Linked DNA regions of Nothobranchius furzeri. The protein of the gene in region 2 interacts with the protein of the main gene of each other region in a pairwise test. Links are inferred from orthologs where the notes say so. Each region holds a gene or a part of one and is shown on either strand. Other genes may lie near its edges. The genes, in order: sav1 and serine/threonine-protein kinase 4.

Region 1 (4,322 bases), on a different chromosome or scaffold from region 2:
AGCTTCTGCTTGAGAAAATAAAATGTTTGTCATTAAAACCAATGAGCTAACAGCTAGCCCGAGCTAGGTTTATGCGGCAGGGGGCGGTGGGAGCTGAGCCCAATTCTTCAGCTGGCAGAGCTGCAAAATCAGTTCATTTCCAATTTTCTTATTTGTCATGGCGCTGCTACAGCTGATATAATTAATGACTTCTGCCCATCTGTCTCTGCTCAGGATTTATCGTAATAACTCTAAGTGGACTTGAAAGCAAAACTTCTCATTTTTAAAAAAACGTCAGAATTTTTCTGACTGCACAAACCGTCGTGGAGTTACGGTTATTCAAACAAACGCATCTAATGTGTCAGAGTTCAGTGTTAGGGTGATGTTTAACATTAAAGGGGTCCAGAAAATCATCGCAATTCCACCTTTTCCTAAGTTCAACAACTTTTCCTTGTTCAGTAGTAACAACTGTAACAAGTGGTGAGAATTTTCTACCTGAAGTCATTTTAAAAAGGCAGCAATCCACTTTGGTTTGTGCTCATGTTAGCCGTTAGCCAATCAGCCCTATAGGAAGTACATTACTTCTCCAAACAGAGGATGTTTAACACACATACCCATTTAAGAGTCGAGTCAAAGACTCTGGACAAATTATTAGTCTGCCAATAGAAAGGTATTAAAAAGCTCAGCATCTCTCCAACATGGCTCCATGACTCGAGCGAGGTGGATCTGTCGTCATAACACGAATACAAGTTGTCAACAAGACAACCGCAAAATAAAACGTTCTCTTCTGTTTGATGAAATACAGAAAATTCCTGCGACCTCAGAACACTTTTAATCTCATGAAAATGACACGCATAGAACAGATTATATAGTATAATGTTGGGCAATGGGATGGAAATATTTTAACTCTTAGAAAAACTAAACTAAAACTGCTTATTTCAGCTTGAAAGCACGCGGCTTGTATTTGTGGTTTAAAACTTTCCATAACATTCAACCATACACCAAAGCTGCCTTTTTACACAAGCTGCACATTTCCATAGGACCCTAACGTTTAAAATCTTAAAATTGACCTCTAAAACATATCTATTTAAACTTTGTGGTGCCGACTGCCTGGTATGATTTTAATTATCCTGCTCTTGTTTAAGCTTCTTATTTAAACCACAAATGTTGCTGCTGACAAGTCATAAATGACCCGCTTCAAGAATGTGTGTGCCATGTATAAAATACACCTGCTTCTAGACATATTGCAAACTATTCCTTTCAAAAGAACACAGCAAATGCATGCCAAGCTTACCTGAGGGGGGTCGGCTGGGAGCTGGGGAAGCGTGTTGGTGAGAAAGTCTTTGAAAGTTGTGTTCATTGTGTTCATAATATCTATAGTCATCAGGAAAGCATTCCTGGACTCTCCTAGGCTGGCGCTGCTGCTGGTTTTCATAATAAGGGTCAGATGGGTAGTAGTACAGAGCACCGTCCCCGTTCTCAGACATGGGACTCACTTCTGTGGGGAAGGATTGCGACGAGCCCCTGTACTCGTGGGACAAGTCTCCCACACTCCGAGGCAGGTATGGAGGTGCCGACAGGCGGTGGCTCTCTCTGCGTGCCACCTCATGTGGAGGCCTCTGTACAGGTGTGCGGAGGACACTTTTGTTACGGGACACCACAGCCTCTCTGTTGGGTGCCACAGAGTAGGAAGTAGACCCAATCTCGGATGGGGGCCCCTCTGTTCGTCTGGGAATAGTAGGTCCATGACGGATGAATGAGGGCATGAGATCTGCAAACAGGTAAGTGGGAACATCATGAATGGTGAACACAGCATCTCCAGCAAAGGGGCGATGTGGTAAACCCAGGATGCAATGGTTGGCAATGTTACATTTTACTTGAAAATTGTAAAATTATCTGTAAAATAAATAAACTATTTAGGTTAATTTAACATGTCATGAGACTTGTGATGAGAATAATTGCAGATTTAATTATCTTTCGTGTGTGTATAGGAGGAAGGCTCAGATTTACTACACATGGATATGATTTGTTATCTAATCACAAACTTTTGATCCAATTTAATAGCTATAGATAAGTAACACTGCCTTAAAACAGATGATATTCTGCAGCAGAAACATTTCTGAAGAGTCTCAGCACATCAAGACATCCCAACATTGTTGGCTAGCATCAAATTATTTTACTATTGACAAGTTGTACTTTGTTCTGGAAATAGGCTGCACTGTCCAAGTATAGCTCCATAAAACACTTGATAACATTTTATTTTGTGTCATTTCAAATACATACCTGCATATCTGAAAGAGCAGAGAAGCTGCTGCACTTTAGACACCGACAGAGTCCGTTTTCTTATAGTTCTTGAGGACAAGTCCTCATATTTGAAGGAAAACCTTCAAACTGCAGGATTCTAATGCATTTAGCAGAGTAGCAAGTTTTAAATGTTTTTAAACTTCATTGGTGACAGTTTTGCGTCATTACCAGAAACTGAGTACTCTGGTCTTTAAAGTATCCTTTAAAGAGCAGACTCCATAAGTTCTGATGACTATTTACACAGCCCAGCAATTTATTTAACATTTAATTTGCTTTATTGGTGCAACTAATCGACTTAAAACTTCAAATGCAGATCAAGTCCATAGCCTTCAGCTAACAGCAAACTACAATGTAGCATCCCGTTAGGGTCGTGCGTAAAGTAAGACAAATTAAAAACGTAAAAAACACAAGATAAGAAGTGTCCATAAACTTTATTCTGTTTTTTTAAATGAGCAGTTTACTAGCGGACAGTGGCAAACTTCAGTTAGCAGGCTAATGCTAACCCTAGCTAACTAGTCGACTACTTGTTGCGCTTACTTCTGAGGAGCGGCGACGTTTCCTTCTTCACATATTTCCCGTGTACCTCGGCTGGTTTCGACGCTTCGTTTTTACTTTTCTTTCGTGAGAGCATAACTCAAAGCTCAGAAACGTCAAAAACTCGGCTGTGATGTCATGGCACAATCCTCCGCAGCCCTGGCAGGAAACAACGGGCGGAATGTGAACATTTTCTACAGTTAGCGCTTAGCCGGCTAGCTGCTGCTACAGCGAGCGATTGCAGCGATTCAGTCCCACAGCTGGCCCTCCTCACCCGGGCTGGGTGTTTACGATCCTCCCAGCTACTAAAGCGCCCTCTACCGGATAGCAGGCGTACAAAAACGTACAAAGTGTGTTGACAAAACACGAAAAAAATAAAACAATGGACACTTTAACTAGTGCTTTTATACTCTTTATTTCCAAGTTCTCACCTTATTGTAAACACGCTTTGTGAATAATTGCCTCTTTAACTAAACATTGTTAGAGAGAAAAGTTCAACTATAAGGAAAATAAAACCATGAAAACAAAACTATAAAACTTTGAATATGGCTAAATAATGCTAATATATTCACCATTATTTGATTTTTATTAACCACCAACCACAGCTCATACACTTTATTTTCACATCACCCTAATTTCACTTTAGTGTTCATCACTGCAGAGAAAGTCAAGCATTCATAATGGCACCGTCTAACAGTAACTTTACATATTGCAGTATAGTTTCACAAGCATATTTCTATTTTTCTTAATATTACTATTTGACATACATTAAAAGTGTGCAGAGTTTCAAGTAGTGTTAAATAGGAGCAAAAAACCTCCATTACGATTCATGATTTTATCACAAACCGATTCTGGTCCTTCATCGTATGGCTGCTTACAAATAAACAATGAGATAAAAACACCTGTATCAAAATACATAACAGTGCTACATTTCTCATATTATATATATATATATATATATATATATATATATATATATATATATATATATATATATATATATATATATATATATATATATATATATATATATATATATATGATACAACAGTTTCTACTTTAAGATATTTGTAAAATAATAAATTACAGAGAAATAAAATGTCTAAAATATGACTTGATATTTGCAAGTTCAGCAACTTAGAATAACAAAAATACTGCAAAAATCCAAGTAAAAAATTGCAATAGAACCTTCAGATTCTTGTCCATTTGGTAGGATTTGCTACAGAGGTGTCCCTGAAGGTAAAAGTCCATTTTACATAGAGAACATTAAAAGAAAATGAGATGCTGAGATGTCATCATGCGTATTTACAGTTATAAGAAAGCCCTGGAAGATAAGACGGGTTTAGATCCCGTACAATCTTATTCAGGGTGGAGATCTTCTCCTCCAGCAGGTAGTTCTTTTTCTCTGCAATTTCATGTCGCTGCTCAGTTCTCTCCAGAGCCTTTACCAGATGGGAGTTCTCCACATACAGGTCTTTGATCAGAACATCAGCTTTGCCATTCTT
Region 2 (3,828 bases):
AAATAAACCGCTTTTAAGTAAAGTTGAGTAAGAAACATTACACTATTTTTTGTCATCTTCCAGTAAGGAATAAATATAGTTGTGTCTTGTTAAAGCTATGGGCATATTTAGAGGTTAAAATGCTTAAATATCGATGTATATTTCATGTGTTCAGAATAAAACTGTAAAAGCTGTTAAAGAGAGCTAAAAGTAAATATCTTTTTGATACAACTAAAAATGCAAGAGTTCTTAGACTAGGAATCAGAGTAATATGACTTAAATGGAAAAAGCTATCTGTGAAATCCTGACTGTGATATGGTCTTGCATGTTTATTCAGTTATGTGAGTACACAGAAGGAGAATAAACCTTCATGTTGAATGCTAATAGAAGCTCAGCGTGTGTGTCTCATCTTTTCTGTTATAGCACCACACATTGAGACGTTAACTATCACTTACCCTCAGACTTCCATAGGCTGACGGGTAACATGAGTCTAAAAAACTGACTAATTATACTGAAACTGTTAAATCAGCATTTTAACTGATGATCAGATATTTTTATACAAGCAAAATAAATAAAAACAGTCCAACAGCAGGACTAAAATTCTGGTCCACTCTGGAACATTTCAGAATATCAAACCACACAGTTGGAAAGGCTGTTTTTCTCATGAAGCATTAAACTATTGCATCATTTATGTACAAAGTGTGTGTATTATTAGAGTATAATTGTTTTATACTTAAAATTCTTAGATGTGATGTATTCATGGGGATAATCATCCAACCCCAACACCTGAGGGTTCAAGAAGTGGTGAATTAAAAACGATCTGAAGAGTCAAATGTGAGTCAAGCAGCAGCTACCTGTCAGTGTGTGAAAGTGGAGCAACTTCAAATCCACAAAGGCAAAGATCTGAGCTCAAATAGAAACACTGGTGTGTGTTTTTACTCGAGCACACGGGCTTTTGTTCTGTTTTTAGAAACACTTAGACATTAACCAGGCCCAAAGCTATCCATCACTTTGCGGTTACTTAAGATAATCATATCTGAATAATCATCATTTACAAAAGCAAGAGTTTTTTTCCACGTTGTGCATATTTATCAGCATCCTCTGTTTGTGTTAGTAAAGTTTTTGTTTCTTTATCTGGATACTACGTGATTTATCAAACCATTACTCCACATAGGCTGAAATAAATGATTAAGCTACTCCACATATTTACCTGTCAACTAAAACTCCACAATCCTGACAACCTCAGTGAAAACATGGTAGAGTAACTATAGAGGAATTTCACTTGTAACAGGTAAAAATATCCATAAATATAAATATTTTGCTACGTTTTCATGACGAGCAAACAGCCTTTCGGTGTATGTCCAAAGGTAAAAGGCAGCAGTGTGAGCTGGTTACATACTAAAGGTCACATGTTTAATATTTAATTCATGTGGCAGCTGTTGGTTCTGTGTAAATGTCTCAGAGCAACGCAAACACCAGCTGCTTTTCACACTAATAAGACCTCCGAAGAAGCAGGTTTAGCTTAAAAACACACCTCATGTCTGATAGCATCATTACATCAACAGAAATCCAGAAATATTAAATATATATAAACAGATGCTGCTAAATTTGGTATTATCAAAACTGTTGAACACATAGTATCTTAATCAAATGACATTTTTTATTTGTTTAATACTGGAGTTTTAATGCTCATAACTTCGACTCAACAGTAAAAACACCAGAAGTCTTTGATGTTTTATTTTTATTTTTTACCAATAGGTGTTACTGCAGTAAGTCATAGCTCTGATCCACAGACATTACATTCACAGATGCTGATTGGCCCAAAATTCTCCAGTTCTCCCTAGCAACCAAATGCTATTAACTGTTCAGCTGCAGTTCAGGAGCAGCGCCCCAGGAGTGAAACTAGCACCTCCAACTCACCACTTCCAGATCTCCTTCAGGAGGGAGTTTACGGTTGTCTGCATTGTTTTCTTTGCGTCCATCGTTGTGATCGTTCGCCTCCTTTTCCTTCTGCTCAAAGTACTCCAGGAAGGACGGTTTGGCTGGTTGCATGGTCTCATCTCTCCCTGTGTGACACACAACCAAAACCACATTTAAACAGTCAGGAATACACATTTTGCATTGCTTGGTTGTTTTAAAAACACAGAAAAAGGAGTTATTGACAACATCGGCACAACTGATGATGGCTATAGTAATTAGCCAAAATGTTAGCAAAACAAGTGAAGAACAACGCCTTTTTTCTGTGTTTTAAAAGAACCAAGCTATGCAAGATGACTAAATACACAGACTGAACGTAGAGAACAGGAATACACATCTTTAATTTTTTTTATTCAAATAGTTTCCAAAGGGAGATGAAAAATAAAGTAAAGATGTTGCAGTGTTTTCAGCAAAGCTTCGGGGTTTAAAAAGCTGATGATGATGATGATAATAATAATAATAATAATAATAATAATAATAATAATAATAATACTGAAGGTCTGAAAAAGGGTTGACACTAAAAATGATCAGTGACGTAGGAAACAAATATTCTGGTTTAAATGCTATGGCAGCAACAGGAGAATGGATGTTCGTGAACACATTTTAAGTTGCATAGTCTATTTAATGCTTTCTTCTAATAATATTCTCTTTAATGATTACTTATTTTGAATCACTTCACAAATGAAGACACTGGTATTCTTTAACCATTTTGTGATTAAAGTGAAACTTGCTTTTATATTCAAAGACCTGGGGATGACCCGTTAACTTTATAATTTATAACTTTTTCACAACGGTAAAAAGCCCACAGTTAGCTTCTAAAGTAAATATTTTAGTGCTTTCTTCCTCCTAGACAAGGAAAATATTCCATCTGTAAAATATTAACCGATCCTAGATCCTTAACACTTTCCTCTGTGTTCCATAAAACGGTTACCAAATCTAAAACATATAGGCGTTGAAAAGCAGGTCATTAGTTGCACTTAAGATTCGATTGCTATTGTGTTTAATAAACTGTGCAGCTGCAGATTATTGCACAACAAACTGGAAGTTTTGCAGAAATAATTTACCTTTAAGAGTCATTGAGTTACGTTGTTTTAGCAGGAAAACAGAATAAAAGCATTTAAAGATATCAAGGCAATGCCAAAAGGGGGCTTCTAAATGTGTAGTGAGCTCAGGTCCAATAGAAAAGCAATTATTCTATTTAATACAGTTCAGATAGCTGATGCAAGAATTATACAAGTGTCCCTCCAACTGAATTAAAGGAGGAAATGATTATTTTACTACTAGTCTTTTTCAACAACACTTGTGGTCAAGTTCACACCTGCATGATAAAAAGGGCCTTTAGCATCAATAAAACATGTGCAACAAATATTTCCTGCATTTAAGGACATAAAGATCAACAGATTAATTGAAGTAGACTGCATGTGTGTGCATTAGTTACTGTTGCAGAGTAATCACATGTGTGATTATTAACAGTGTGAAACAGCATGCATGCACGAGTGTGTCAGGGTATTGTTGTTACTGTGACAAATACAGTGTTAGTGTGGTTCAGGGCTGGATTCATGGCTTTAATAAGCTATGGTGTTACAACATGAAAACGCCCCACAGCGTATCATGGTGAGTACACAAATAATCCTGAATGGTGAAAAAAAAAAAGTATATTCTCTACGTCGGTTTCTTCTTAACCAACAAACGCAGCAAAATGCAGCACCGTAAGGAAATGAGAGCTGCTTTATGACTGTACTTAAACAGATTTATGACCAATAATGTGCAGAAATTACTAAGTGAAAACCCAAATGCCGCAATCATGACTCAGTTGACTCAGTTGATTCAGGTTGCAATGACTGACGACTCATTTAGATCATGACCCAGAAC

Evidence for each region.
Region 1: the proteins of serine/threonine-protein kinase 4 (region 2) and sav1 interact in binary tests that used the Homo sapiens proteins (3 or more experiments, as listed by UniProt). The link is inferred for Nothobranchius furzeri from reciprocal best matches to the Homo sapiens genes STK4 and SAV1.

What each region holds. Positions count from the first base shown.
Region 1 is NC_091758.1:19,778,179-19,782,500, forward strand, and holds the start of sav1 (protein salvador homolog 1), read right to left. Parts: upstream 3,068-4,322; 5' UTR 2,915-3,067; coding exon 2,821-2,914; intron 1,751-2,820; coding exon 1,274-1,750; intron 1-1,273. Other genes in the region: nin (ninein), read right to left, coding at 4,113-4,322. UniProt on the Homo sapiens protein: Regulator of STK3/MST2 and STK4/MST1 in the Hippo signaling pathway which plays a pivotal role in organ size control and tumor suppression by restricting proliferation and promoting apoptosis.
Region 2 is NC_091743.1:73,698,587-73,702,414, reverse strand, and holds part of serine/threonine-protein kinase 4, read right to left. Parts: intron 2,046-3,828; coding exon 1,900-2,045; intron 1-1,899. UniProt on the Homo sapiens protein: Stress-activated, pro-apoptotic kinase which, following caspase-cleavage, enters the nucleus and induces chromatin condensation followed by internucleosomal DNA fragmentation.